4 linked regions of the Oryctolagus cuniculus genome follow. The protein of the gene in region 2 binds, or shares a complex with, the protein of the main gene of each other region. Links are inferred from orthologs where the notes say so. Each region holds a gene or a part of one and is shown on either strand. Other genes may lie near its edges. The genes, in order: TRAPPC12, TRAPPC9, TRAPPC8 and TRAPPC11.

Region 1 (6,787 bases), on a different chromosome or scaffold from region 2:
GCCAAGACCTGACGCAGGTGTGGGCAGAGCTGCTTCCGAAGCCCCTCTGCTCACTCGTCTGAGGTGGCGCCTGCTCGCCCGGTGTCGGCTTCATGAGGCCGCGGTCAGGTAGGAATACGGCCTCCTTTAACCTTAGTGACCGCTTTGAAGCCCCTACCTTTAAACAGCCACTTTGGGTCTGGGGCCTCAACAGATTTTGGGGGACACCATTTCATCTGCAACGCCGAGGAGCAGAGCCCCTGGGGCTGGGATGCACACATCACAGGGCTCACTCCGCCGCAGGTGGGAACCCAGAGGTTTAGGAGCAGAGGTGGATGTGCGGTGACCTCTGTGGGCTCAGACCGGAGCTGGGTGAGGAGCCAGTCAGGGGCTGTCACCACCTGCTGTCCTTTAACTGGAGCATGGCTCAGAGAGGCCTGGTCACTGCCTGGAGGCGTCAGATTCCCGCATGCAGCCCACGGGGTCCTGAAGAATTGACAGCCACTCCAACTGGCTCGGCGGTCTTTCCTGTGTGCCGGCAGAGGTCAGTGTACGGCCCACAGGCCAGACACAGGAAGTGTGGTCGGCCTTTGCTTTCTTAGGGAGTTCTAGAAACCAGCCGAGAAAGCCCAGCAAAGGAGGCTGTGCAGCGGGCCTGCGTGGGGTCCACAGAGCACTGACCCTGCACGCACGGCCTCTGCCCAGCCGCTCCAGAACCTGGGAGCACCGCAGGAAGGTGGGAGGCCACCTCACAGGCCTCGTGGAGGCGGAGTGGTTCAGTGCGCCCAGCCAGGTGTTCAGGGACCCAGGGCTGTGGCTGAGGTCGCGGCTGGGCGACATTGGCTCCATGCGGCTGATGGACGCCCTGGCTGGAGGCTGCACTTGGTGGCCGGGTTTCCAGGTGACAGCCCTCGTGGCCCCATGACCCTCTCCTCTGGACAGTGCAGGTGCTCCTCCTGAGATGCAGGCGCGTGCCCAAGTGAAACTGAGGCAACAGATGCCAAGGGCTCACCCGTTCGTTGCTTGTCCTTAACCCCGGAGAGAAGACAAAGCTTGCTCGGGAAGGGAGAGTGACGGCTCTGAGTGACAAGAAAACTGGTATCACGACTTCTTGGCAGGCAAACCTTTCCGACAGGCCTGGCACCCCGGTCCTGCTGGCAGAGAGCAGGAGCTGGGCCTTTTCAGGTGCCTGGGGGTCCCTCGGTGAGGCCTGTGGGTCTGCTCTTGTCCCTCACCCAGCCCCAGGGTCTGTTCTGGTTCCTGTTGTCAGGAGACATAAACTGAGCTAATGCACTCCAGGCATGGAGAGAGCAGAGCAGGTGGACTTGGCGATGAGGCCCAAGGCACACGCCATTCCTGAGCTTTTGTAAAAGCCCCATCACATCCACCTGCAATGGGCACGGGGTTCAGTTCTGGTTGTTCCTGCAAGGGGGGGGGCCTAGATGGGCAGCTTGGGCGCTGCTGGAGAGGGGTAGTGTCTCTGCTGCAGGCCACTCTGCCTGGCACGCCGACCGCTGGGCCACAGTAGCAGGGCAGCAGCCGAGGGCCTCCAGGGCAGGGGCAAGGGAGCCTTGGTGGTGGGGCTTACCCCTCCCCGGCCCGACATCAGGCAGGCCATTCTGGTCCTGTCTCAATCCTGGGCCCAGGGCCCGGTTCCTGGTCACATCAGGACCTGCAGAGGACTCTGGGCCCAGCTGTCGCTCCTGTCCCTGATGGCAGAGGTGCCCAAGGCAGAGGAGGGCAGAGGGCTGTGCACCTGGGCCGTGGAGCAAAATACCCAGTTGGCGTCTTGAGCAGCGTCCTGCGCATCCTGAGCCACTGCACATTTGCCTGCTGGGCACTTTGCTCACACATGTGAGACACGGGGGGAATTGCGAGGGAGGTGCAGTGGCCCAGAGGCGACTGGGATCTTCCAGAGGAGCTCAGGGGCTGGGCATGGAAGAAGAGGAGGCCTCACCAGCCAGGGCTGCTCCAGCCAACATCAGGGCCTCTGTGGGTCTGTCCCACTCCAGGCAGCTGTAGAGGTGCGCGGCACAGAGGGCCTGGGATGGTGGGTACAGGAGCAGGGCCATCTCCAAGTCTAGGGCTTGGCCTCTGTGGTGCTCACGAGCCTGCTCAACAGTGGGAGACACACTCGGACACAGGCAGGTCTGGGCCTCTGCAGCCACAGGGGCCCTGGTGTGGGCACCAGGAAGCTATGGCTGCCTCCTTGCTCGGGGGCCATGTGCTGCCTTGGTGATGGTCCGAGCACTGTACGCAGAACACACTGGTCATTCAGTAGCGATGGCCAGAGGGGAGGTGGTGTTCACGTGCACTGCTCTTTCAAGAGCAGGCAGTGTGTGGCCCAGGATTAACTTAACGAGGCTCCCAGGGTTCCAGATGGAACGCATGCCCTTTGATGGCTAACCACTGTCCACCTGGCTCTGGGAAGGGTTTCAGAGATTATGTATTTATTTCTAAATTTTGTATTTATTTGAAAAATTGAGAGACCAAGACATAGAAAGATCTCTTACCTGCTGGTTCACACCCCAAATGCCTGGAACAACTTGATCCAGGTCTCCCAAAAGGGTGGCAGAGACCTGGTACTTGAGTCATCACCGCCGCCTCCAGGCGCTGGACTGGAAGTGGAGCTGAGACTCAGCTCAAGCGCTCCCATAGGGGTGAACTGTCCCAGGCAGCGTCTCAACTGCTGTGCCAAAGGCCTGCCATTACGGCTTCTTATATTTAAATAATTTTTTAAGATAACAAGATAGGTTACAGCAATTATCCAGACATTAACATTCATAGCAGTTCTCCTCTTCAGCCTTTATTTATTTTTCATAAGCTTTTTAAAAATTTATTTATTTTGCAAGAGTTATGGAGAGGGAGACAGAGAGAGAGAGAGAGAAACATCTTCCACCTGCTGGTTCACTCCCCACATGGCCACAACAGCCAGTGCTGGGCCAGGCCAGAGCCAGGAGCCAGGAGCCAGGAGCCAGGAGCTTCTTCTGGGTCTCCCCTGTGAGTGGCATGGGCCATCTTCTGCTACTTTCTCCAGGCCAGTAGCAGGGAGCTGGATCGGAAGTGGAACAGCCAGGACACAAACCAGTACCCATATGGGATGCCAATGTGCAGGCCACAATGATGGCCCCTTTCTGTAGGAACAGGCTAAAACACCCAGGCAGGAGCTAGCGATGGCGCTGCCACCTCCGTGAGCTGGGCCTAACCTCACCTGCCCCCGGGGGACAAATCACCTGTGTGGCCTGGCCTCCCATTGTCCCTTGCTGGTTCCAGTGTCCGGCAATGGCAGCTGGGGAGGAAGACTGGCTGCAGGTTCAGTCTGAAGGGAGCCTGGCTCCTTTCTCACCTGCCACTCCTGGGTGTCCACTGCCTCCCTGCACTCCCATAGTCAAATACGACGCTGATTTTCCCTCTTTGTGGAGAGGAGGATGTGAAGGTCCCTGGGAGTGTCCAGCCCTCCAGGCGGGGTCACCTGCTCTTCTGCTCTGAGGCGTCACTCACGTGCGCCTCAGCAAAGGAGTGGGGCCATCTGCCTGCAGCTCTGATTCGTACACGCACTTCTCAGCCCCGCATGTCGATCACAGCTCACGGGTTAGAGAAGCCGGCATTACAGGGTCCTGGCCAGAGCTGCCTGGTAAATGCAGACATTTTCAGGGACTTACGGTTTCAAAAGCAGGAATAACTATGAAAAGATGAGTGCAAATGTGCGGACTGGCCTGGGCTCAGACCCTGCTGACCCTCGAGGGCCCTGTGTTCCCGATGCTGCTGACCCCCGGGTGCTCGGGCTCCGACCCTGCTGACCCCCGGCAGCCTGTGTTCAGACGCTTCCTGGTTTTCTCACGCACCTGAGCTCTGTGTTCTGCTCACTCCCGGGTGCGGCTCTCCCTCTCTGCCCTCTCTGTGGGGCGCACGAAACACAAGAGAAACCAGGACCCACCGTTCCACCTTGGTCAGTGAACGAGACGGGTGTGAGGAGAGAGGGCGGGAGGAGGACGCTGAGCAGCCGTGGACAGCGGGAGATGCGCAGCCTGGCTGTTGCAGGCATCTGGGGCGTGAACCAGTGGACTCAAGGTCTGTGTTTGGCTCTTTGCCTTTCAAATACAATGAAGACAGATAAATAAATAAGAAAGGAACAGGCTGGCTTCCAGGAGAGGTGAGGGAGGTCTGGTGCACACTGCAGGCCTCCTGCCTGGCACACCATCTCCCCTCGTGTGCATACCCAGGGACGTGCCCACCTTGGGCAGGCCTGGGCTGTGGCTCCAGAAGGAGGCTCCCATGGGGCGGGAGACGGGCCTTCATGGCTATGCCACAGCCACACGCATGTGCCACTCCATGGTCCACTCTCACACTCTGGCTCTAGGAGACGGGCCTTTATGGCTGTGCACAGCCGCACGGTGTGCCGCTCTGGTCTACTCTCACACTCTGGCTCTAGGAGACGGGCCTTTATGGCTGTGCACAGCCGCACAGTGTGCCGCTCTGGTCTACTCTCACACTCTGGCTCTAGGAGACGGGCCTTTATGGCTGTGCACAGCCGCACGGTGCGCCGCTCTGGTCTACTCTCACACTCTGGCTCTAGGAGACGGGCCTTTATGGCTGTGCACAGCCGCACGGTGCGCCGCTCTGGTCTACTCTCACGCTCTGGCTCTAGGAGACGGGCCTTTATGGCTGTGCACAGCCGCACGCATGCGCTGCTCTGGTCCACACTCACACTCTGGCTCTAGGCCAGCTTGAGGCACTGGGTGTTGAAACTGTCCCCTTCTTTGCCGGCCACGGCCTCGAGCAGGCTCTGCTTCTTCTGCATGCTCCGCGAGGACTCCAGCTCGTACATGGTGGTCAGGTTGAACAGCACACTCTCGTGCAGGTAGTGCCTGGGGTCCCGCTGCACCATGGCCTCCAGCTGCCGCAGCGAGTCCTTGAGCTTGCCCAGGTAGAGCAGACACACGGCGGCGTTGTTGTTGGCCTGGAGGCGGGGCCACGTGCAGGTCACAGGTCACGCCCAGTGCACCTGGGCCTGACACTGGGGTAGCCCGTGACCGCCACAGTCACCCGATGCCTGTGCCTGTGAGCAGGGCCAAGGCTGGCCCCGAGCACTGCGACGGGCAGAGGGGTCCGAGACACAGGACAAATGCCTGCGGGGGTCTTACCACGGCGTTTGTTGGGTCCATCCTCAAGATCTCAGTGAAGAATCTGTGGGCTTCGGCGAAGTTGTTCTGACCCAGGTGCAGGAACGCTCTGCAGCAGAGGCCACGGGCAGAGCCCTTCGTTAGCCAGGGAATGTCAGGGTGCTAGGGAGGGGAGGGGTCCCCCACCTGGAGGGGGCTTCAGAGGCTGCAGGATGGCGACCCCGGCCCTCTCGACAGAGGCAGTACCGCATCTGCCTGCCTGACCCGGCCCAGTTCAGGCCACTCCCACCCGTGGACTGTGGGTACTCGTGCCTCACGCTCCTGTCCTGAGCTGTGTGCACACTCTACTGGGCACAGCCTCTGCTCACACGTGTGTCCCTGTGCACAGCTCCCTCACCGACACTGGATGCACACCCCAGGACCGATGGGTGCAAGGTGGCGGGGCACTGCGGACGGCGCCCACGCCTGCTGAGCTAGACAGAAGGGGGGCCACACGAGCAGTTCCCTGAGGAACGCCGGGGAAAACCTCCTCCAAGCCAGCTCGTGTGAGGAAAGCACACCTCTGCAGTTCAAGAGGACGCTGGGCACCCTCATCTGAGCCGGGCACCCTCATCTGAGCCGGGACGGGGCGTAAGAGGACGCCGGGCACCCTCGTCTGAGCCGGGACGGGGCGTGAGAGGACGCCGGGCACCCTCGTCTGAGCCGGGACGGGGCGTAAGAGGACGCTGGGCACCCTCGTCTGAGCAGGGACCGGGCACGAGAGGATGCCGGGCGCCCTCGTCTGAGCCGGGACGGGGCGTGAGAGGACGCCGGGCGCCCTTGTCTAAGCCGGGACGGGGTGTAGAGGATGCTGGGCGCCCTCGTCTGAGCCGGGACGGGGCGCGAGAGGCAGTGTTCTCTCTGGAAGATTGCATTGCTCGGGAAGTTGTGTTTAGACTTTGTTTTAGGAAGTTTGAGAAAATAAGTATGCAGTTTAAAAATACTCACCTGTTCATTAAAACCATTATTTTACCCTGTAGTCCATCCAATTTCTGCATCACTTTCTCAACGTCTTGAAAATACTTCTCAGCCGTTTTAATGTCTCCAATCTGTGTGGACAAAATCAGAGTCCGTTTAGCTGAACGCTGAGAGAAAGAGCCCAGCCGCCCCGCGGGGCCGTTCCTCGCTGTCCTGTCACGATGCCAAGGCTTCTGGGCTGCAGCCGTGGACCCTGCGGCGACCGATCGTAGCTGGTGTCTGAAAGGCGGCACCGGACACCCAGGACACGGCGGTGAACCTGCGCTCTGTCTGTCAGCAGTCACATTGTCTCACAGCTTAGTAACTTCCAGACTTAAAAATGAATGCTGGCACAGCACTAAGCAAAACAGAACTAAGATGAGATGACTGACTGCTCAGTAGTAACAATAACGCACTTAACACGCTGGCATTTGGGACAGGGGCCATGGCCGTTTTTTGTGGCTACCAAATGGCAGGTGCCACCGACTTTGCAAAGTTCAAAGAAACACTTTGACCAAATACTACAGAATTTTACTGAGAAAAACCAAACCAAAGCACACAATGCAAGCCCAGCCTTAACAGCAGGCAAGGAAGCCGCAGTCAGCAGGGCCAGCCCGAGGGTGAGGAGACCCTGAGGGCGAGGAGGAGACCCCTGCCCAGAGCTGCGGCCCCTGACGCCCAGCATCCGC
Region 2 (7,735 bases):
AGGTTAAGCCTCACCTTGATGCCGGCATCCTACGTGGGCGCCAGTTCATGTCCCGGCTGCTCTACTTCCCAAGCAGCTCCCTGCTAATGCACCTAGGAAGGCAGCAGACGGGCCAAGCGCTTGGGCCCTGCACCGCATGGGAGACCCAGACGCTCCTGGCTCCTGGCTTCAGCCTGGCCCACACACCTCCAGCCGCTGCAGCCATTTGGGGAGTGAACCAGTGGATGGAAGAGCTCTCTCTCTGTGTCCCTCCTCTCCCTCTCTCTCTGTAACCCTGCCTTTCACATAAATATTCTTTAAAAAATGTTATACTTTCACAAAAAGATGGTGAGAGGGGAAGATGGCCATTTTCTGAGCATCCTGTCTCGGCAAAAATAAAAACGGACCCTCAGCTGTCAGCCCTCCAGCCACTGGGATCTCGCTGACTTATGAAACGCCAATGACCCCTCCAGTTCTCCAGAGGCACTGAGAAACTGGAGAGGGTCACACCCATGGCACATGGGAGACCCGACGGCCACAGGCAGAGGCCACCGAGAACCAGAGCCACCCTCTTGGGAACTGTCACTCCAGATTCATGCTGTGTATCCAACGCTGTACAAACAAGCTCCACACACCTGCCCGGGCTCCTTGGGAGTCATGCCACACTGACACCACAGACACCCCAACAAACAAGCACCACGGGCCCCAGGCCCCGCCCACAGCAGCCTCAGCAACCAATTGCCACTCTAGAGAGAACCTGATACCGCTTTTGTGTCTGCCAAGAAACCACCCCAAGAGCCCCCCTTAGCCCTGGGGGGCACTCTCCACGGTTTCCATTACCTATGGTCAACCGTGGTCCACGAATAACACCTGGGAAGCTCCAGAAATAAACCATCTGTAAGTTTTCAATTACACGCTGCTGAGCAGTGAGGAAGGCCGGAGCAGCACTCGGTGAGCCACTGCACAGCTGTCTTGCTGTGGGAGCAACTACAGGGATGCCGCAGTGTTTGTGGTCTCGGTTACCCAAGCAGCCACAGTGGTGCGTGCTCAGGGAACCCTTAATTCACTTACTGATAGCTCCGAGTGCTAAGCAGAACTGCTGGCAGTTTCCGCACTGTGACTGTCGTATTTCACTGTCGGTTATTGTTATTCTCTTGTTGAGCTTCATTTAGCAACTGAGCTTTGTCACAGGCACATACACATGGCAGAACACACAGGACATGCACTAGCCATGGCTTCAGGCACCCCCGGAAGCTGAACCCTGGGGGTGAGGGGAAGGCTGTACAAACCTTACAACATAAGAAGTGTGTTTCTTCAACCTAGTAGTGCCTCAAAACGTTAAACGCAGAGAGCCAGCAGTCCTACTCCTGAGTCCTACTCAAGACCACGTGGGGGCCGTGCTGTGGTGCACTGGATTAACGCCCTGGCCTGAAGCACCGGCATCCCACGTGGGCGCAGGTTTGAGACCCGGCTGCTCCACTGCCGATCCAGCTCTCTGCTGTGGCCTGGGAAAGCAGTGGAGGATGGCCCAAGTGCTTGGGCCCTGCATCCGCATGGGAGACACGAAGGAAGCTCCTGGCTCCTGGCTTCAGATCAGCACAGCTCTGGCCATTGCTGCCAATTGGGGAGTGAACCAGTGGATGGAAGACCTCTCTCTCTCTGCCTCTCCTCTCTCTGTGTAACTCTGACTTTGAAATAAATACATCTTTAAAAAAAAAAAAAAAAAAGACCCTGTGTCCACTCCAGAAACTGGAACGTGAATACCACAACAGCATTGTTCACAATAACCAGGAAGTGGGAAAAGCAGATGTCCAGCAGGCTAAACAGACACGCAGTACTATCTCCACGCGACGGAACAGCGCTCAGCCAGCAAAAGGAGCAGAGCGCGGAGGCACCTCCCACCACGGAGGGAGCCTGAACACAGGCCACTGTGTGAAGGGAGCCAGACACAAAAGACGCGCGCTGCGTGGCTCCACGAACGCGCAGCGGCATGAACGCGCAAGCCCATAGACAGGAAGTCAGCCAGTGGCCACCAGGACGGCCATGACCGCTCACGGTGCAGAGCCTCTCCCGGGGTGACGAGTGTGCTCTGGGAGGGCAATGGCCACTCAGTGGACTGAGGCCACTGAACTGGACACTGTGGACAGTGGACATCAGGATAGCTGAACGCCATCATTTCCTGACACCTACTTTTTCCTCTACACTATTCGTCAGCCACACAATTCAAAAAGCAAACAGGGGCAGCCGAGTAGCACAGGGAGTTAAGCCGCCAATGGGAGGTGCGCGTCCCACACCAGCTGCCTGGTCCACGGACCCTGCTACCCACTACTTCCAATCCAGCCTCCTGCTAAGGGCACCATGGGAGGTAGCGCTGACGGCTCAAGGACTCGGGTCCCTGTCACCCCTGCGGGAGACCCAGATGGAGCTCCTGGCTCCCAGCTTCCGCCTGGCCCAGCCGCAGCTGTTAAAGCCCTTTGGGGAGCAAACCAGCAGATAGAAAAATCTGTCACTCTTTAAAATAAATGAAATCTTTAAAATAATAATTTAAACACATAGAATAAAACCTTGCCATCTGCAAATCATGCTCCTGGTGCCCCAACTCCATGTTCACCACAGTGGCCTGCATGGGGAGAAGCTATAGCCCACTTTTTTTTTTTTAAGATTTTATTTATTTGAAAGAAAGAGTTACAGGGAGAAGTAGACACAGACACACACAGAGAGAGAGAGAGGTCTTCCTTCCACTGGTTCACTCCCCAAACGGCTGAGCTGATCCAAAGCCAGGTGCCAGGAGCTTCTTCCGGGTCTCCCACGCGGGCGCAGGGGCCCAAGGACTTGGGCCATCTTCTACTGCTTTCCCAGGCCACAGCAGAGAGCTGGATCGGAAGTGGAGCAGCCGGGACTCGAACTGGCACCCATATGGGATGCGGCACCCACTGAGCCCCAGCGCACTTCTCAAAGCATCAGCAGGTGTACGGCACAGCAGGTAAGACCCAACGGAGATTCCCACCTCCCGTATCCCAGGGCCTGGCTCAGCTTCCACCGTCCAGCGTCCTGCTGTAGCAGCTGGTGCCGGCTCCTGCCACGCCCCCTGGGAGACCTGGACTGGGTTCCGCCTCCCGCTTCCAGGGGACTGAACTCTGCCTTTCCCATCAAATAAACATTCAAGGAAGAACACAGATCTCCCAGGCTCACGCCCAGCGATTCTGATTCCTCAGGTCTGCCAGCAGTCAGTGCACGAACCTACTTTTAAAAATAAATACTAAAGGACGGTGCCGGGTTTAAAGTGCGTTCCAACGGCTGAGTTTCGCATCTCCAGCCCGTCGCCGTGAGCGGACGCTGAGAGAGCGCACAGCGCACCCTAACGAGCGGAAACTCCGCGTTCCCCGCGTCTACGCGCACAGGGTGCGCTGTGGACGCGACCTCAGCGGGACGACTCGCGGTGGACACTGAAGGCCCGGGGCCGCTAGTGGCCACCGCCAGGCCAGCACACGAAAGGCGCGAAGGAGCCTCCGGGCAGCGGCAGCGGCGGGGACCCCGGGCCCCCCGCGCGGGGTCGGCGGGCAGGGGGCGTCGGCGCTGCAGGCTGTCCCGGGAAGAAGCCGGCGGCCGCAGAGCGCCAGGAGGCGGAAGAGCGGAAAGGGTACGACCGCCTCGGACCAGAGAGCCCAGGCCGTGCGGGGCCCGGGGCAGGTGTGGGCACGGCCCTGGACAGGTGCACACAGGGCGCGAGGCAAAGGGAACGGGGCCTGAGGCAAGCGCGAGCTGGCCCCGCGGGGCGGGCGGACCCGGCCAGGTGTGGGCTGGGCGAGCCCCGCAGCCGGACACACCGCCCTCCCGCTGCCGGCCCGGACCCCCAGGCCGGGAGCCCCCCGGGTTGCACTTACACAGCCGGTGGCCCCGGGCCCGGAGCGGGAGCCAACGGCCTGGCGGGCAGCGGGTCCGGGCAGCCTCTACAGCCGCTTCCCCGCCTCAGCACTGGAGCTCCCGGCAGGCGGCGGCGCCGGCGCTACTACCGCGCGTGCGCGGAGGCTGGCCCCGGGCCGCGATCCGCGCCGGGGTTTGTGGGAGGTCGGGGCGGAAGCGCGCGAGGGAGGCGAGGGGTGGGGAGGACGGTGACGCGGAGCGCGGGGGCGGCTGCTGCTCCCTGGGCCCGCCCTTTCTCCTGGCCTCCCGCCGACCCCTCCGGCGCCCCTCGCATCCCAGAGCCGAGCGGGCATCCCAGAGCCGAGCGTCGGGGTGCGAGTGCCGGCGCCGTCTCCGATACAGCCCGGAGGCCGCGGCTAAGGGCTCGGGTTCTGGGGTCCCCGCCGCCCCCGTGGGCAGCCTGGTTGGATGGCCCCTGCGCCCAGGGTCGGGCTGTGGCGGGCCTCAGAACCAGAGCAAGGAGACCTCTGTGCGCGCTTTCCAAAGCAAAAGATAGATAGATATATAGATAAAGCCTTTTTAAAGCCGCCTCCCCAAGAACTCCTGCGGCAGAGCGCCCGCAAGCCCCCGCCCCCTGTCCGGGTGTGCCTCCTGGACACGCCGGGGGTCCGCCGGTGCGGTAGCTGGCATCGCCAGCAGGTGAGAGGGCCCAGGGACCCAGCTCCCGGGCTGGGGCGGGCCCAGGGTACGACGCGAGCGAGAAAGAGGCTGCCTCCCCCGTGTGCTTTCATCACTCTTTGGATCTCTCACCACATGCGTGGGTTTTATTTTCCCATTAAAAATGCCTTTTGGAAAGTTGTTGGACAGGAGTGACCCCTCAGCAGGCGCAGCAGTGGGAAAATCTTCGGAGGCAGTGGTTTTTTGCTTTAGGCCAGCAAGCGTTTATGGACTCTCTGCTGTGTAGCCAACGCTGTTTTATGGCGTATTTTATTATTCATGTTGTCTATAAAATAATAATATGCTAGCCCTCATCCCTGCCCAGGGCCAGTGGGAGAACAATTGAGTTTTTGTTGGCTTGTTTTCTGAGGAGCAGGGAGGAGCTGTAAACAAAGCAGGTCCCTGGGGAACAGTGGGGAGACCAGGGCCTCAGGGCTGAGGACCAGGACCACCCAGAGGGCGGGCGGCTGCCGCTGGTGCTGGGCTGGACAGGGGTGGGGGGAGAGAGGCATCTTCCCAGTCCACCACGGACACAGATCTGTGCTCAGCTCACGGCCCTCTGAGAGCCAAGGTAGAGCCTGCTTGAGCACTGAGGGGTGGGCACAAGGATGCACGCAAGCAAGTGGCGGGAGCCGCGTGGCCCCGTGGTTGTATGCCCCCCCAGTTCTTGCCAGTCCTGTTCTCTCTATAAATGGGGAGCACTGGGCCTTGGGCACCGCGTTGCCCTGTGTCCCACCCTCCTGCTGGCTGGGCCTTGTCCTCCCAGCACACGGGGGGCGGGGCTCCTGTTGTGGCCTCTTCAAGGAGGACGCAGAGGCTCAGGGTGGAGGAGGGCTTGCTCAGCTCGCCACCGTCCCGCCAGGGCGTCCCGATGGGTCTCGCGGCTCTCGCATTTCCCAAGCATCTCTCCTCTGCACGTTGAAGACTCAAAGACGATTCAGACCTGTCCCAGGAGTTTGTAGACAGCTGGGGCTGCAAGGGACCTCTAAACAAGGTCCAGCAGCAGACCCACACCAGGTCCCTCTGCAAGAGACAGGAGAAAGCTGCTGTGACAAACTGCCATCCATCAGCCGCATGCCTGAGATAGCAGGCATGCCGACCTCGCGGGTCTGAGACTGGAGCCTGACACGGTCAGGTCTGGTGAGGCTGCCGGACTCCCCCCGTGGCTGGCTCACCAGCCTCTTCCCACACCGTCTCTGCGGATCCCCCTGTGGCTGGATCACCGACTTCTCATGCCTTCCCCTGGATCCTCCCATGGCTGGCTCCCCAGATCCCCCGTGGCTGGCTCACCGGCCTCTTCCCACACCGTGTCCCCAGATCTCCCCGTGGCTGGCTCACCGGCCTCTTCCCACACCGTGTCCCCAGATCCCCCCGTGGCTGCTTCACCGGCCTCTTCCCACACCGTCTCTGCAGATCCCCCCGTGGCTGGATCACCGACTTCTCATGCCTTCCCCTGGATCCTCCCATGGCTGGCTCCCCAGATCCCCCGTGGCCGGATCACCAGCTCTTCCTGTCAAGGCACTGATCCCACTCAGGAGGCCCCGTGCTCACGACCTAAGCACCTGCTAAAGGCCCCACGCCACACCGTCACACAGGGGACTGAATTCAGCCCTGTATGGGGACGGGACACACACATTCAGCTCACGACAAACTTTATCGGAAAATTCTCCAGGACACCGAGCCAGAAGCCACCTCCCTGAAACACTCAGGCCATCTCACAAAGAACAGGACTGCGGCTGGCACGGTGGTGCAGCAGGTCAAGCTGTCCCCTGCACTACCAGCACCCCGCAACTGAGTGCCCGTTCCAGTCCCCGCTGCTCCCTGCTAACGTGCCTGGGAAAGCTGCGGAAGATGGTGTAAGTCCTTGGGCCCTTGCCACCCATGTGGGAGACTCAATGGGACTCCAGGATCCTGGCTTTGGCCTGGCCCAGCCCTGGCTGTTTTGGACATTTGGGGAGTGGACCAGCAGATGGAAAATCAGTCTTTCTGACTCTGCCTTTCAAATAAACAAATTCTTTAATAAAATTAAAAGAGAATCATCTCAAGTTTAACAAATCAGGCTGGTGCTATGGCGTAGCAGGTAAAGCTGCCACCTGCAGTACTGGCATCCCATATGCACACTGGTTTGAGACCCCGCTGCTCCACTTCTGATCTGGCTCTCTGGCCTGGGAAAGCAGTAGAAGATGGCCAAGTGCTTGTGCCTCTGTGCCTGCGTGAGCTCTTGGCTCCTGGCTTCAGATCAGCCCAGCTCTGGCTGCTGCAGCCATGTGGGGGGAGTGAGCCAGCAGATGGAAGACTTTCTCTCCCCCTCTCTGCCTTTCAGATAAATCCTAAATAAATAAATAAAACAATGAAGACACTGAAATTTAAAAATAAAAAGTGCAGGCCAAAGCCCCTGCTTCAACTGAACCTAACTACATGAATACCAGTAAACAGATAATCACTTCATAAGGATAAGGCTGTTTAGGATGAAAGAAAAAATTATGGGGTTGGCATTGTGGCGCAGTGAGTCCAAGTCCCCACCTGGGATACTAACATCCCATACGGGCACTAGTTCAAGTCCCGGCTGCTCCAATTCTGATCCAGCTCCCTGCTAATGCACCTGGGAAAGCAACAGAAGATGGCCCACATCATTGAGCCCTGCACCCATGTGGGATAACTGGATGGAGTCCCAGGCTCCTGGCTTCAACCTGGCCCAGCTCTGGCTGTTGTGGCCATTTGGGGAATGAACCAATGAACGGAAGCTTACTCTCCCCCTCTCTATAACTCTGCCTTTCAAATAAATAAGTCTTTAAAAAAAAAGTTTGAGAAAGTGAAATGAGACAGAGTGGGTCAAATTGTCACATGCTACTCTCATAGTTTTGGAATACAGTGAATATGCCTTTATTTCCTAGGATAATTCCTGTTGATGGTTTCCTTGCCACAAGGTGTTCCCACTGGGACAGTGTTGTGGCGTAGTGGGTTAAGCCCCTTGCTGGGAGGCTGGCATCCCCTGTGGACACCAGTTTGTGTCCCAGCCGCTGCACTCCCGATCCAGCTCCCTGCTAATGCACCTGGGAAAAGCAGCAGAGAGGGTGGCTAATGCAGGAGACCCACATGAAGCTCCTGGCTCCTGGCTTCAGCCTGACCCAGCCCGGCTGATGTGGTCCTATCTGGGGAGTGAACCAGCGGATAG
Region 3 (7,142 bases), on a different chromosome or scaffold from region 2:
TGAGTGGGATGCCTGGGTCATATGGTAGTACTATATTCAGATTTCTGAGGTATCTCCAAACTGTCTTCCATAATGGTTTTACCAGTTTGCATTCTACCAACAGTGGGTTAGGGTACCTTTTCCCCCACATTCTTAGCAGCATTTGTTGTTTTTTTGATTTCTATATGAAAACCATTCTAACTGGAGTGAGGTGGAACCTCATTGTGGTTTTGATTTGCATTTCCCTGATAGCTAGTGATCCTGAACATTATTTCACATGTCTATTGGACATTTGGATTTCCTCTTTTGAAAAATGTCTGTTTTAAGTCCTAGACCCATCTCTTAAGTGGGTTATTTGTTCTGTTGTTGTTGAGTTTCTTGATTTCTTTGTAGATTCTGGTTATTAATCCTTTATTGGTTGCATAGTTTACAAATAACTTCTCACAATCTGTTGGTTGCCTCTTCACCTTCCTGTTTCTTTTGCTGTACAGAAACTTCTCAATTTGATAATTCCATCTGTTAATTTTGGTTTTGACTGCCTGGGCCTTTGGGGTCTTTTCCAAGAACTCTTTCCCCAATGTTCTCTAATAATTTGATGGTGTCGGGTCATAGATTTAGATTTTTAATCCATGGGGGACTTTTGTGTAAGGTGTAAGGTAGGGGTGTTGCTTCATACTTCTGCATGTGGAGATCCAGTTTTCCCAGCACTATAAGTTGAAGAGACTGTCGTTGCTCCAGGGATTGGTTTTAGCTCCTTGGTCAAATATGAGTTGGTTGTAGACGTTGGGATTGATTTCTGATATCTCTATTCTGTTCCATTGGTCTATCCATCTATTTTGTATCAGTACCAAGCTGTTTTGATTATAACTGCCTTGTACTATGTCTTGAAATCTGCTACTGTGATGCATCCAGCTTTGTTTTTGTTGTATAAGGTTACTTTAGCTATTCGAGGTCTCCTGGAACTCCATATGAATTTCAGCATCATTTTTTTCTAGATATGAGAAGAATGTGTTTGGTATTTTGATTGGTATCGCATTGAATCTGTAAATTGTTTTTGGAAAAATGGACACAATGATGATATTGACTCTTCCAATCCACGAACATGGAAGATTTTTCCATTTTTTGTATCTTCTTCTATTTCTTTCTCTAATGTTTTGTAATTCTCATTGTGGAGATCTTTGATGTCCTTGGTTAAAATTATTCCAAGGTACTTGATTTTTTTTTGCAGCTATTGTGAATGGGATTGATCTTAGAAGTTCTTTCTCAGCCACGGCATTATCTATGTATATGAAGGTTGTTGGGTTTTGTGTATTGACTTTATATCCTGCTACTTAACCAGACTCTTCCGTGAGTTCCAATAGTCTCTTGGAACATTTTGGATCCCCTATGTACAGAATCATGTCATCTGCAATAGGGATAGTTTGACTTTCTCCTTCCCAACTTGTATCCCTTTGATTACTTTTTCTTGCCTAATGGGCTCTGGCTAAAACTTCCAGGACTATACTGAATAGCAATGGTGAGAGTGGCCATCTCTGGTACTGGATCTCAGTGGGAATGATTCCAATCTCTCCCCATTCAATATGATGCTAGCTGTGAGTTTGTCATAAATTGCCTTGATTGTGCTGAGGAATGTTCCTTCTAAACCCAATTTGCTTAGAGTTTTCATCATGAAAAGGTATGTATTTTATGAAATGCTTTCTCTGCATCTGTTGAGATCACTGTAGTTTTTTTCATTATGTGCTGTTTTTTCACCAGTTTGTTAATGTGATGTATCACACTGATTGATTTGTGAATGTTGAACCATCCCTGCATACCAGGGATAAATCCCACTTACAGTGGATGGAAGAGCTCTCTGTCTCTGTTTCTCTCTGAAACTCTGCTTTTCAAATTAATATTTTAAAAAATTTTTAAAAATAAGAAACTGGAAATTTTAAGTGTAAAAAAATAGAGGTATACATTTGTTCTTCAGCTTTAAGAATCCAAATAATTTAGTAACACATACCTTCCATAATATGATAATATTCAGATCCACCTCACTGCACTTTTGAATCAGTCTCACAGCATCCTCTGCTGATCGTTTTTCTGGGTGCATAGACAACTGAACTTGTGGTTTTTTCAAGTCCGAGGATAAACTTCGATAAAAGAAGTCTGCACATGGACTTGCTGAACTTATTATCTGTTGAAAGAAGTAACTTATCTAAGTGAGCTATCAATTTATTTTGTCACATATATTTAGTCTCAAATTCTGACAAAATTCATATTTTAGTACACTTACATAACTTGCCTGAAAGTATTCCAAGAGAAACATGATAAAAATCACAACCTTAATGTAATTTAGTAGTGTTGCTGATATTTCTAGAGATGTAAGAATTTTTTTTAAAAGAAATAAACAAAACAGATAACTAAAGTCCTTAAAGCTAAATTCAACCATTAAAGAATCACAGTATCTTCAAAAGTCCTACGTGTGTGGGAATTACTGGGCTTCTGGAGCTGCTTCCTCAAATGATCAACTGATAATCACAATGTGAAAAGTGAAAAAGTGTATAAGTACAGTTTGTAAGTACAGTTTTAATTATCAAGAAGAGCACAAACAAGGTGGTATCCTGCCGCTTGGAAATAATTACATGGACTTTTACACACTATGTTCAGTATTTTTGAAAATAAGTCCCCAGTGAATCTCAGATGACCTGCAGGGCTAGTTAAAAATACATACTCCCTATCTCTACCCAAGATATAATAAACCAGAGTTCTAGAGGTGAAAGGGCGAAGCCTGTATTTTTACAAAACCCTCCAGATGTAGGTCCTTAATACTCAAAACTAGGATTTGCAGACTAACAAACACCTAAATCTTACTGGGGTTGATTGTAACAATTTAGAACATCGGATTCTATCCCACTTAAACTAAATCAGAATTTGCATTTTATAACAAAATGTCCAGTGACTTAAATGTACATTTTTTGAGAATTTGAAAACACTGTTCTAGGTGATTCTTGTGCCTAGCTTATCATTTGGGCCTCAGAACCACAAGATATACCAAAATCCACATAGTTTTAACAGCTAGATGTTTACTCTGATCATTTTCTGAACTAAAAGGAAAGCTCCCCTAAATAATCCTTTTTTAATTTCAAGAAGTATACTTATTTCACATGACAGACTCAAAAGAAAGTTAACTTTAAATAATTAATTAAATAGTATAGTCCACATCCTATTTTTGGTTTGTTTAGGGGATGGACATAGAATGCAAACTCAACAAAGATATTCATCTTCCAGAGACTGAAAATTACAAAAGCTATAGGTTCCAAAAACAATCAGATATTCCAGAACAACTTTGAAATAAATCAACCACTATTGTGCTTATTTGCATACCTGTTCATTTCCAAAGATGATATCTGCAAAAGTATACTTTTCTGAGGACTGCATATTAGCTAAAAAACAGGAGAAAAAAATAATGTACCACTGACATAAAATACAAAATGGTCATTTAAGAAAGTATGAAAGCAAAATAAGTTTACCTTCTTTTTCCTTACATCTTATTGCCTTGAAGCAAAACTTTCCTTTCTCCCTACTGGCAAGTTTGGCGTCTAGAAAAAAAAATTTTCAAAAATGTTTCTCAGTTTATGACAAGGTAAAATTGAACTCATTATTCCAATTTTTTTGGTCAAGCTGGAAAATAATTTACTGAGTATAATAGTGTTTAATAAAAAACATCTTTACTTTCATCTCAATGAAACAAATGTTTACAAACATCTTAAAAAAGACAAACTTCAATTTTCTCAAGATACTCATATATTATCTGTGTGTGCATATATTTATAAGGATACTTCAAAAAGTTTGTGGAAAATAATTAAAAGATGTTGATTTTGGCACAAAAATTTCAAATTCATGGATATATGGGATCTTAAAATCTTTGTGAAAATTTGGATGGGTGACAAAGCAGCATGAATTCCAAAATTTTTATACCAAACTAAACTTATCTTTTAATTCAATTTTTCCACAAACTTTTAAGTACCTTATGGGTCTATTTCATTCCAGATTAAAAAGAAGCTTCAAAGATAAAAACTTTGGGGCTTCAGCCCAATCCCACCATTCTGTCATTTGTTTCTTCTTAGAAAGTTGTAATAGATATGATTTATACCAATATTATTATATGCACATACTTTGCTATTGTGCATTTTTCCATTATGGCAGGCAATGAAAAAATGTTAATACATGTATATTTTAACAACTGAAAGAATCTGAATTATAGCATAATTTACATTAAAACTATACTGAATTTTCCCCTATAAACATAACAGTGTAATAAACTTCAGAGAATATATACATTTTCCCATATTTTGAGTTAATTCCCTTCCATAATATCCAAAAGTAAGGATTAATGTGAGGTTAAGGGTTTAAATATTTTATGTCTTTTGAAAAAAAATCACACAATTCTTGTCCAGTAAGAGGACAAGTATCATTTTTTCAGTTTCACCTCAATCTTACAACTGCTGCCTCCCTGGGTGCAAATTATTAACAGGGTGCAGAGCCAGGAATAAAACCTGTACAACTGATAATAGGATCTGAGCATACCAAGCAACATCTGAACCACTGGGCCAAATGCCCACCATATTTGAATTTTTGACAGTGATCATATGACTCACTGATTTTACAAATTAAAAAAAAAAAAAGAAAAAAAAGTGCAAGGGAATAAAAATATGGGAAAGACTGGATCAAGATAGGTGATTTAAAGTCACATAAACTAATGAAAATGTAAGGTACCAATAATCTTATAATCTGGCACTAAAGCAGTGAAGATGTCAAATTTATTTTTAAAAAAAGGGGGAAAAAGCCACAAACCTTTGTTTTCTGAGAGATTTACAGATTTATATAATTTCCAGTGTTTGCTGCTACTTGATACTTGTACTATATGGAATTCCTTAACACCTGCTTCACTCTGTCAAAAAGAGATGTGAGTCATTTGGAATTTAAGAACAATAAATCAGAATATTCCAATGAGGACAAAAGTCATACATTACAAAGTCAGTATCAATTAACATAAGATAAAATTTGTAATTTGAAAAAAGTAACAATACATATTTCAAGAGGTTTGGGCAATTTAACTATCTCTCTAAATATTCTTAAAAAAGAGAAATTGGGGCCGGCACTGTGGTGTAGCAGGTAAAGCCGCTGCCTGCAGTGCCAGCATCCCATATGAGCGCTGGTTCAAGTCCCGGCTGCTCCTCTTCCGATTCAGCTCTCTGCTATGGCCTGGGAAAGCAGCAGAGGATGGCCCAAGTCCTTGTGCCCCTGTACCCGCGTGGGAGACCTGGAAGAAGCTCCTGGCTTCAGATCAGTGCAGCTCCAGCTGTTGTGGCCATTTGGGGAGTGAAACACTGGATGGAAGACTTTCTCTGCCTGTGCCTCTCTGTAACTCTGCCTTTCAAATAAAATAATTTTTTTAAAAAAAGATAAATCAACATTTAACCCAAGAAGTATTTTTTCCCCTTATCTGAGAGCAGACAAGAGAGAGAGGTTTGGGTGGTGGGGAGGAGGGTTTGGAGACAGATAAGCAATGACAGAGGCTGGGCCATTCTTGAGCATATAACTCAGTCTAGATCTCTCAGTTAGGTGGCAGGGACTCAAGTACTTGAGCCATCACCTGCATTAGCAGGAAGCTAGAATTCGGAGGGGAGGTTGGACTTGAACCTAGGCACTCTGATGTGGGATGCAGGCATTTCAAATGGCCAATTAATCGCTACACCAACTGCTGCTCCCCAAAATCTCAGTTAGATTGAAATTATTACCATATGGGGCTACTTGTCCTATAATATGTAGCATATTAATACTAGCAGATCCTTTTATTTTAAGAGTATGAAGAATGAAATTACAAAATTAATGGAGACATAAGATGGTATCACATTATTTTAGTTTCTATTCTTTTGTGACAGAAAAAGAAACTGTTAAGAACAAAGGAAACACTTCAGACATAATTGAAAACCAACTTACAGTATTGGTATTCTCCACATCCACAAAGACTAGCATATTGCCTCCTTTGCCTTCTTCATCAAGAGAATTACTTCTGCAGACAGTGGCTCGTACATTCAAAGATCGGCTGGTACAAATAACTGCAGTGTGTCTTAATATTCTGTGCCTAAAGAAAAGTTAAAAACAAGACCAAAAAAGAGTTTATTCTAAGATCCTCTCCGTATGTTCTGATTCTCTAATTCCAAATAAAAATTTTAAAAAATGGATGAATCTGGTGAGCATCTGGCCTAGCATTAAGATGTGGGTAAGAATACAGGTTTTCTGAGTCTCAGCTGATTCCCAATTACAGCTTCCTACTGTTGCAGACCCTGGGAGGAAGAGGTGATGGCTCAAGGACTTGGGTTCCTGCCTCCTATGTGGGAGACCTGGATTGACTTCCTGGCTCCTAGCTTCAGCCCAGTCCAGCTTCAGCCACTGCAGATTTGGGGAGTGAAACAGTGGACGGGAGCACTGTCTGCCTCTCAAATTAAAAAAAAAAAAAAAAAAAAAAAAAGATACAATAAAGTAAAATGAAGTAAAAACCTAAATCCAGTTCTACTCCTTCTCTATTTGGAAGGCAACTGTAAGTCTCCCTGACTCTGGGCATTTTCTCTGTACATCAAACTCATCTATATAATATATGAAATAACCTTTCATATAGTAATGTCTTGATTAGGTCTCTTCTCTGATAGTATTTCCAAAGTTACTGAACAACCACAAAATATACTCCAGCCTTTAACCTGGCATTCAAAGCTCTCTACCATATAACTTTATATTGCAAAGGTTCATTCCCCCTTTACTTCTTTCACAGAGATTTTACACCATGGCTGAACTGTATTTATTTTATGTTGCCTAACTTGTAAATCTTTGTTCATAAACACACCCACTCCCTGGAGTACCCACTCCTCTACTGACTATCTTCATGATAGCCAAATTCTGAAATGTTCACTCTCCTTGGAGGAAGCTCATTTTACTACCACCAGAGTCAACAAAGCTTTCCCTGAATGGGCCAGAGTACTCCCTCTCTCTATCATCTTCTTAAGGAGAATTAACATTTACTGAAGGACTAAACCATACTCAGTACTTAAAAATATTATCTCATTTTGCCTTTCTGTAAGTTTTAGAAGACATTTTATTTAGATATTTCATTAAGTAAAATA
Region 4 (7,823 bases), on a different chromosome or scaffold from region 2:
AAGACTGGAAATAGGCTAGCGGGAGGAGGAAGAAGAGTGGGAGTGCCAGTGGGAAGGCAGGTACAGTGGGAAGAATCACCATGTTCCTAAAGTTGTATTTATGAAATGCATGAAGTTTGTATACCTTAAAGATTTCTGGCAAAAAAAAAAAGAGAAATTAATTCAAAAGTACATGTTTTAGTATAACATTGGCAATGTTTCTGTTATGCAGATAAGTAGCCAAATTTTCTTTTCTTAATTTTTAAGTAAAATTTTAACAAACATAAAAGACAAACAAATCAGTTTTGAACTTAATGACATTCCTCATTCCCTCTTGAGTAAACTGCTCTAGTTTATGTACTACTCCCAAGGACATCAGGCATGTCTGATTGAATTTGTACTCCTATCACCAGCTTGTTGCATGGTTCCAGGCACCTAATACAAATAAAGCACTCAAAAACATATGACACTGAATTGTTAAATCAACAGCAGGAGTCACTGTGCACTTACTCCCCATGTAGGATCTCTGTCCTTAATGTGTTGTACTATGCGAATTAATGGTAAAACTAGTATGCAAACAGTACTTTGTACTTTGTATGTCTGTGTGGGTGCAATCTGTTGAAATCTTTACTTAGTATATACTAAGTTGATCTTCTGTATATAAAGATCATTAAAAATGAATCTTAATGAAGAATGAGATCGGATGGTTTGTGGGTGGGAGAGTGGTTATGGGGGGAAAAAAACGCTATAACCCAAAAGTTGTACTTTGAAAATTTATATTTATTAAATAAAAGTTTTCTAAAAAAATATGACATTGAAACAAACTGTAAAGACTATGGATTCTATACTGATATTGATAACAAAGAAAGGGAAATGTGAGATCTTCCTTTTAAAGATTTTGCTCAATATATGGAGATGTGGGGAAAAGCAAGACTCATAGGATAGAAAGGTACATAAAGTAATTATTCAGCTGGGTTTTAAAAAGATAATTGTTGGGGCCAGCGTTGTAATGTAGCAGATTAGGCTGCCCCTGCAATGCCACATCCCATGCGGGTGCCAGTTCACATTCTGGCTGCTCTACTTCCGATCAGGCCCCCTGCTAATGCACCTGGGAAAGCAGCTGAAGATAGCGTAAGTGCTCGGACTCTTGTCATCCATGTTAGAAACCCAGATGAAGCTCCTGCCTCCTGGTTTTGGTATGGCCCAACCCAGGCCATTGCAGCCATGTGGGAAGCGAACGACATGGAACATCTCTCTCTCTCTCCTCTCTCTGTAACTCTGCCTTTCAAATAAATAAACAAACCTTTTTAAGAAAAGGCAGAGAGAGAGAGAGGTCTTCCATCTGTTGGTTCACTCCTCAGTCGGTCACAACAGCCGGAGCTATGCTAATCCGAAGCCAGGAGCCAGGAGCTTCCTCTGGGTCTCCCACATGGGTGCAGGGGCCCAAGGACTTGGGCCATCTTCCACTGCTTTCCCAGGTCATAGCAGAGAGCTGAATTGGAAGTGGGGCAGCCCGGACTTGAACCAGCACCCATATGGGATGCCGGCACTGCAAGCGGCGGCTTTACCCACTAAGCCACAGCACCAACCCCATAAACAAATCTTTTTTAAACATTTTATTAAACATACATGAACATGTCTATGGTTTTCTTTTCTTTTTTGAAGATTTATTTATTTATTTATTTACTTACTTACTTATTTATTTGAAAGTCAGAGTTACAGAGACAGAAGGAAAGACAGAGAGAGATGTCCAGATGGTTGCAATGGCCAGGGCTAGGCCAAGCCAAAGCCAAGAGCCAGGAGCTTCCTTCCAGTCTCCCACATGGGTGGCAGAAGCCCAAGCACTTGGGCAATCTTCAGCTGCCCTCCCAGGCTCTTTACCAGGGCGCTGGATTGGAAGTGGAGTAGTGGGGACAATAAGCCAGTGCCTATTTGGGATGCCTTCATTGCAGGTATCAGCTTTATCCACTACACCACAATGGCGGCCCCAAAGTTTTCTTTCTATACAAGTACAACCATTGTCTTGATAAACTCAGGTTTCCAGCACAGACAACAGTAACACAAAAAGACATACATACACAGAGAAAGAGTGAACCCATGAAATCATAATGTCATTACCTTGGGTCTACATTTGGGATACTCATGGTCACCTGGGAGCACCTTGAAAGAAATTGGTACTCGGTCAGCTCTCCGATTGGCACAGAAGGCATCCCAGACAGCTCTATGTACAGCATTATACACGACATCCAGGCCCGTAAGGGTAACAAAGGCCATAGGCCGGCAGCATAATTCCACAGGGAAGTCCCACTGTGTGGGGCTCATGGTCAGGTTGTCATGAAAAAGCTGAAAATACAAATGAAAACACATTCATAAGCAATTCTTTCAGATCTATTTCTAATATATGGACCGCCACTGAAAAAATTACAAAAAGGCAAAAAGCTTTGAGCAAGCTGGAAGTAAGGGAACTAGAAATCACTTACAGAACTTTAAATCAGTGCTGTAGCTACGTAACAAGAACATACAAACCACATAAATGATTTTACATTTTCTACCAGTCATATTAAAAAGAAACAGGTGAATTCATTTCAATAACACTCTCAGTAGGTCCCAGATATTATCATATCAACAACATAAAAGTTATCAATCAGATATTTTACTTTCTTTGTACTACACTAAGTCTTCACATTTTGGTGTGTATTTTATCCACACAATATTTCAATCTGGACTAGCTTATTTCAGATGCTCAACAGCCACACATGGTTACTGTGCAAGATGGACAGCTGTCAACTGGCAAATCTGTCCCAAATGTACTGTATAAAAACTGCACCTAGGGCCGGCGCCGCGGCTCACTAGGCTAATCCTCCGCCTAGCGGCGCCGGCACACCGGGTTCTAGTCCTGGTCGGGGCGCCGGATTCTGTCCCGGTTGCCCCTCTTCCAGGCCAGCCCTCTGCTGTGTCCAGGGAGTGCAGTGGAGGATGGCCCAGGTGCTTGGGCCCTGCACCCCATGGGAGACCAGGAAAAGCACCTGGCTCCTGGCTTCTGCCATCGGATCAGCGCGGTGCGCCGGCCGCAGCGTGCCGGCCGCGGCGGCCATTGGAGGGTGAACCAACGGCAAAGGAAGACCTTTCTCTCTCTCTCTCTCTCTCACTGTCCACTCTGCCTGTCAAAAAAAAAAAAAAAAAACAAAAAACAAAAAACAAAAAACTGCACCTAGGCCGGCGCCGCGGCTCACTAGGCTAATCCTCCGCCTTGCGGCGCCGGCACACCAGGTTCTAGTCCCGGTCGGGGCGCCGGATTCTGTCCCAGTTGCCCCTCTTCCAGGCCAGCCCTCTGCTGTGGCCAGGGAGTGCAGTGGAGGATGGCCCAGGTGCTTGGGCCCTGCACCCCATGGGAGACCAGGAGAAGCACCTGGCTCCTGCCATCGGATCAGCGCAGTGCGCCGGCCGCGGCGGCCATTGGAGGGTGAACCAATGGCAAAAGGAAGACCTTTCTCTCTGTCTCTCCCTCTCACTGTCCACTCTGCCTTTCAAAAAAAAAAAAAAAAAAAAAAACCTGCACCTAAAGCTTTGCCATACTCAACTTTAAAAATTTGGGCAGTTAAATATGCATGCTTATTCTCCAGCAAAGGCTGGAAACATGAAGGTAAAGAGAGATATACACTGAATGCTTCCACGAGGAAAGCTGAGGAAGAGAAATTTTCAGATTTCCTGAAGGAAGCCAACGGAGCCACAGATCAAACCATGACGTGGAAGGAGGTACAGGGGTACAAGTGAGCATTCTGGGTGGACACCACCGAGTGCAAGGGAAGCAATCTGTCAGGCAGCATGACAAGTAATTATAATAATGCGGCTTTACTATAACGAACTGGAGTTCAGGGGGTAAGACTAACGTCTACTAACAACGAGATTCAGAGATGATGTCCTACACCAATCGCAACTACAAAATGAGCAAAGGAGGAATGAACTCAGTTTGAGGCCAAATGGTTATTTAAAAAAAAAAAAAAAAAGTCGATGGTGAGGATGTGGAGCACAAACTCAACTGAGGCTTAGATTCCATCCCCGTGGTCACAGAATTCTGCCCCAGATAGCTCCAATGAAGGAAGCTGGAGAAAGAATCTTGCACAAAAGGCATCTTCCTCTTCTATCACCCCACCCCGTTAAGTGGGAGGCGCGGGGGGCGTCCTGGAAATGGGTGCGTCTTTTGGGAGGGGCTGGAAGAGAAATGCCAGGACTGCACCCTCACACTTAGGGAAACGCAGGCCCCAAAACCAGTGCTGTTAAGAGCTAGCTCTTCCTCGGCGGCCTCGCCTGGCCCCATGGGTCTCTGGGCCCGGACTCACCCAGGCCGCACGCCCCGGACCCGCAGCAGCCGTGGCCGATCGCCGCCAGGCGGGAGAAGATGACAGGAATGACAGGAAGCAGGCCGAGAGGCCACAAAACGTCCGGACCCGTCCCTATGGCCGCGGCCCCGCCGCAGGCTCCAGCAGGCCGGACCTCCCGGTCCCCACCTCCTCTGGCACAGGAAGCACTTTCTGGACGTGAGTGACAGCGTCCTACACCAATCGCCGCCCTGGAGTCGGACGCCGCTCTCCACAACGCGAAGGAAGCTCTCCAAGTCCAACGAGAGAAAGAGTCGGGGGCGGAGATGGAAGGAGCCAATGGGAAAAACGAGGGGGAAGAGGGGGGCGGAGCCTCCGCCGGTACCGCCCCGCAGCCTCTCCTCAGACTCCGGGTCGCCTCACCCACGGCGGCCTCCGGCTCCCGGAGCACAGCCGGGCCCCTGTGGTCGGCGCCTGGACGCTGCCGAGAGCCTCGCGGCGTGCGTGACTCTGGTCTTCGGCTGCGAAGGGTGCGTGGCCCCGCAGCCGAGGCGCGGAAGGGGGACGCCCCGGCCTCGGGGGCCAGTGCACTTGTGCCCTCTTCGTTGTGAACGCCAGCAGCCCGGGAGAGCCCCGCGACTGGCGCGATGAGTGCCAACGAGGACCAAGAGGTGAGCCCCACCCGAGGCTGGACGCCCGTGTTCCCGCGCAGGCGCGCAGCCACAGCCCGGGGCCCGCACGTGCCCTGCGCCCCGCGCGCCCTCCGAGCCTGGCCGGTGCGGTGCGAGAGAGGACAGGCGTGCGTGAAAGGGTGGGGGCCCGCCTCTGCCTGCCCACTCCCTGCCGTCTTTCATATTTGCTCACCCGGGGGTCTCCGCAGATTTCCTTGATGACCAGGGTGACTGTCCTTGGTCCATGACCCAGTTGTCTCCTTGACTCCCGCGTGGTGTTCAGAGCTTGTGCCCTGAGCTGGCCTGGAATCTGGTCACCTCTAAGTCCTAAAAACTCTTGACTGGTAGAGAGTTAACTTAGTTAAGTCTCCTAGTGGAGAAAAATAATGACCCGCGTGTCTCTGGTTTCTGTCCAAATTGTTTTATGAAATCATTTTTCCGTGTTGGCAGATGGATGCCGAATCTTGAGTATACGGCGTGCCATCAGAATTGTATGCTTCGTGCGCACGTATTTTCTCTTTAAAATTCTGTTTTGACACGTTGGAGGGACGCGCCAGGTCACCTCTGGGGGCACCTTCTACCTTTGTGATGGGTAAGGCGCAGTGAGTGGCCCCCGGACCGCGCCGTGAGGCTGTGCTAGGATTGCAACCAGACCCCAAGCCTCCTGTGCATTCGCTAATACACTTGTCAGGTATTGCTTTAATTAGCACTTCCACACGATAGAAGTGATAGCATCTGTGGATCAGAAATTAGCTTTAAATTAAGACCCAAAGTTCAACAAGCAAGTTGACACCTGAATTCCTTCAAAGCAGTTTTGCTACGGGAGTCTCTCAGCCAAGGCATTACTAGCTTTGTCTTCCAGCAATGCACAGAGCATACATGAAGGGGAAGGTTTCTCCAAGTTGGAACCATTTGAGTGATTGTTAAATAAACAACCTGCACTGCACCCCACTCCGTTTGAGTCAGAATTTCTGCGGTGGGGCCCCGAATCTCCATTTCCACTCTTCCATGTGACTGATTTTCAGATCTTTGAAGACAGTTTCCTGCCCAATGTCCTTTTCTTGGCAAAATTGTTCCCTTAGCTTTTATTCCTAAGCCCATTATTTCAGTTCCTTTACCATCCTGGAATCCTGTCAGCCGGCAGGTTCTAAGCTTATGTCCTGTTGTCAAATTGTTGCAAAACGCCTTTTCTACAGTTACATTCAGTAACGTTCACTGTCAACTAAACCGTTTAAGTGCTTTTTATAAAATAATTTGTCTTTCTCTATTTGTGTATCTAAGAATGTAAACATAATTTCTTCTACTTAATGCTGTTTAATTGCATCACGAGCATGTTTTTTAAGGACATTTTGAGTTCTTAATTCTGCCGCCAGCGTGATGCACTGTCCCATCATTGAACCTGCCTTTTGTTTATATTCCTGTTCCAGTCATTAAGGAGTAGCTGTATTTTGAGTCAGTTGTTTATAACAGTCTAATCTTCTTAGTTGTTCCTGAATCCAGTTTGAATTTCTATATTTTTCTTTGTAAAGGTAACAAGAGAAACTTGTGGAGCTTTGCTAAAATCTGTGTAGACTGTTTCCTGCTGGTCTCTGAATCAGAAGTACCATCTCTGAGAAGGATTATTTACATATGCCCTCATTTCATATATTGGCTAGGTTTTAGGGACTACTCTTTGTTCTCCCACCATTTCTTAAAAAATCAATTCTAAACTTGTGTCCATGTCACAAGGTCGCCATCTTTACTCTGTAGAATTCATGGTTACACCTTTTTGAAAACCAGAACATGTACACGAGGGCAGTCTTCTCAGAGAATTGTCCGTGGTCAAATGGTGCTTGAGACTCAATCTTTATATTATTATTATTTGTATGTATATCATAAATACAACATTAGGAACATAGTAATTTTCCCACTGTACCTGCCCTCCCACCCACTCTCCCCTGCTTCCTCCTCCCTCTCCTCTTAAGTCCGAGAAGAAAAAGAAAGAATGAAATTTAAAAAACTAAAAGAACTGTTCGTCAACAGTATAGACAAGGGCCATTCTATGTCATAGCTTCTCGAAGGTGATTTCGCTTTTTTCCCCCTTCCACAAGACCAAGTCATTTGTAAGACCACTGTATTCTAAGAAACACTCCCCAGCAAAGTTGCTAGATACGTTTTGTGTTGCAGTCCTTTCTCCTATCTTGAGTAGATCCTTACCAACCTTTCTCTTTAAGTTTTCTTTTTTTTTTTTTTTAAGATTTACTTATTCACTTCAGAGGCATAGTTACAGACAGAGAGAGAGGTCTTCCATCCCCAAAAGGGATGGAAGGTTCATCCCCAAAGGGAGCTGCACGGATCCTAAGCCAGATGCCAGGAGCTTCTTCTGGGTTTCCCATGCAGGTGCAGGGGCCCAAGTAATTGGGCCATCTTCCACTGCTCTCTCAAGCCATTAGCAGTGAGCTGGAGCAGAAGTAGAATAGCAGGGACTCGAACCAGCGCCCATATGGGATGCCAGTGCCACAGGCAAATGCTTAAACTATTATGCCACAGCGCACCGGCCCCTAGTTTTTTTGTACAATTTTTTTTAAGTTTTAAATCATCTCATTAGAGAGATTACAAATATAGTAATTTATGTAATAGGAAGTTCTTGTGCTTCGTATTTTTTTTTTTTAATTTTTTGACAGGCAGAGTGGACAGTGAGAGAGAGAGACAGAGAGAAAGGTCTTCCTTTGCCGTTGGTTCACCCTCCAATGGCTGCCGCGGCCGGTGCACTGCGGCCGGCACACCGCGCTGATCCGATGGCAGGAGCCAAGAGCCAGGTGCTTTTCCTGGTCTCCCATGGGGTGCAGGGCCCAAGCACCTGGGCCATCCTCCA

The links.
Region 1: TRAPPC9 (region 2) and TRAPPC12 share a complex: the UniProt entries of both Homo sapiens proteins name them as parts of the multisubunit TRAPP (transport protein particle) complex. The link is inferred for Oryctolagus cuniculus from reciprocal best matches to the Homo sapiens genes TRAPPC9 and TRAPPC12.
Region 3: TRAPPC9 (region 2) and TRAPPC8 share a complex: the UniProt entries of both Homo sapiens proteins name them as parts of the multisubunit TRAPP (transport protein particle) complex. The link is inferred for Oryctolagus cuniculus from reciprocal best matches to the Homo sapiens genes TRAPPC9 and TRAPPC8.
Region 4: TRAPPC9 (region 2) and TRAPPC11 share a complex: the UniProt entries of both Homo sapiens proteins name them as parts of the multisubunit TRAPP (transport protein particle) complex. The link is inferred for Oryctolagus cuniculus from reciprocal best matches to the Homo sapiens genes TRAPPC9 and TRAPPC11.

The regions. Positions count from the first base shown.
Region 1 is NC_091433.1:197,906,790-197,913,576, forward strand, and holds the end of TRAPPC12 (trafficking protein particle complex subunit 12), read right to left. Parts: intron 6,191-6,787; coding exon 6,090-6,190; intron 5,212-6,089; coding exon 5,124-5,211; intron 4,940-5,123; coding exon 4,697-4,939; 3' UTR 2,766-4,696; downstream 1-2,765. UniProt on the Homo sapiens protein: Component of the TRAPP complex, which is involved in endoplasmic reticulum to Golgi apparatus trafficking at a very early stage.
Region 2 is NC_091437.1:165,567,352-165,575,086, forward strand, and holds the start of TRAPPC9 (trafficking protein particle complex subunit 9), read right to left. Parts: upstream 3,999-7,735; 5' UTR 3,864-3,998; intron 1-3,863. UniProt on the Homo sapiens protein: Functions as an activator of NF-kappa-B through increased phosphorylation of the IKK complex. May function in neuronal cells differentiation. May play a role in vesicular transport from endoplasmic reticulum to Golgi.
Region 3 is NC_091441.1:45,757,047-45,764,188, reverse strand, and holds part of TRAPPC8 (trafficking protein particle complex subunit 8), read right to left. Parts: intron 6,110-7,142; coding exon 5,965-6,109; intron 4,913-5,964; coding exon 4,816-4,912; intron 3,561-4,815; coding exon 3,492-3,560; intron 3,405-3,491; coding exon 3,346-3,404; intron 2,156-3,345; coding exon 1,982-2,155; intron 1-1,981. UniProt on the Homo sapiens protein: Plays a role in endoplasmic reticulum to Golgi apparatus trafficking at a very early stage. Maintains together with TBC1D14 the cycling pool of ATG9 required for initiation of autophagy. Involved in collagen secretion.
Region 4 is NC_091433.1:65,463,553-65,471,375, reverse strand, and holds the start of TRAPPC11 (trafficking protein particle complex subunit 11), read right to left. Parts: upstream 4,460-7,823; 5' UTR 4,320-4,459; intron 2,323-4,319; 5' UTR 2,302-2,322; coding exon 2,098-2,301; intron 1-2,097. Other genes in the region: RWDD4 (RWD domain-containing protein 4), read left to right, coding at 4,946-4,969. UniProt on the Homo sapiens protein: Involved in endoplasmic reticulum to Golgi apparatus trafficking at a very early stage.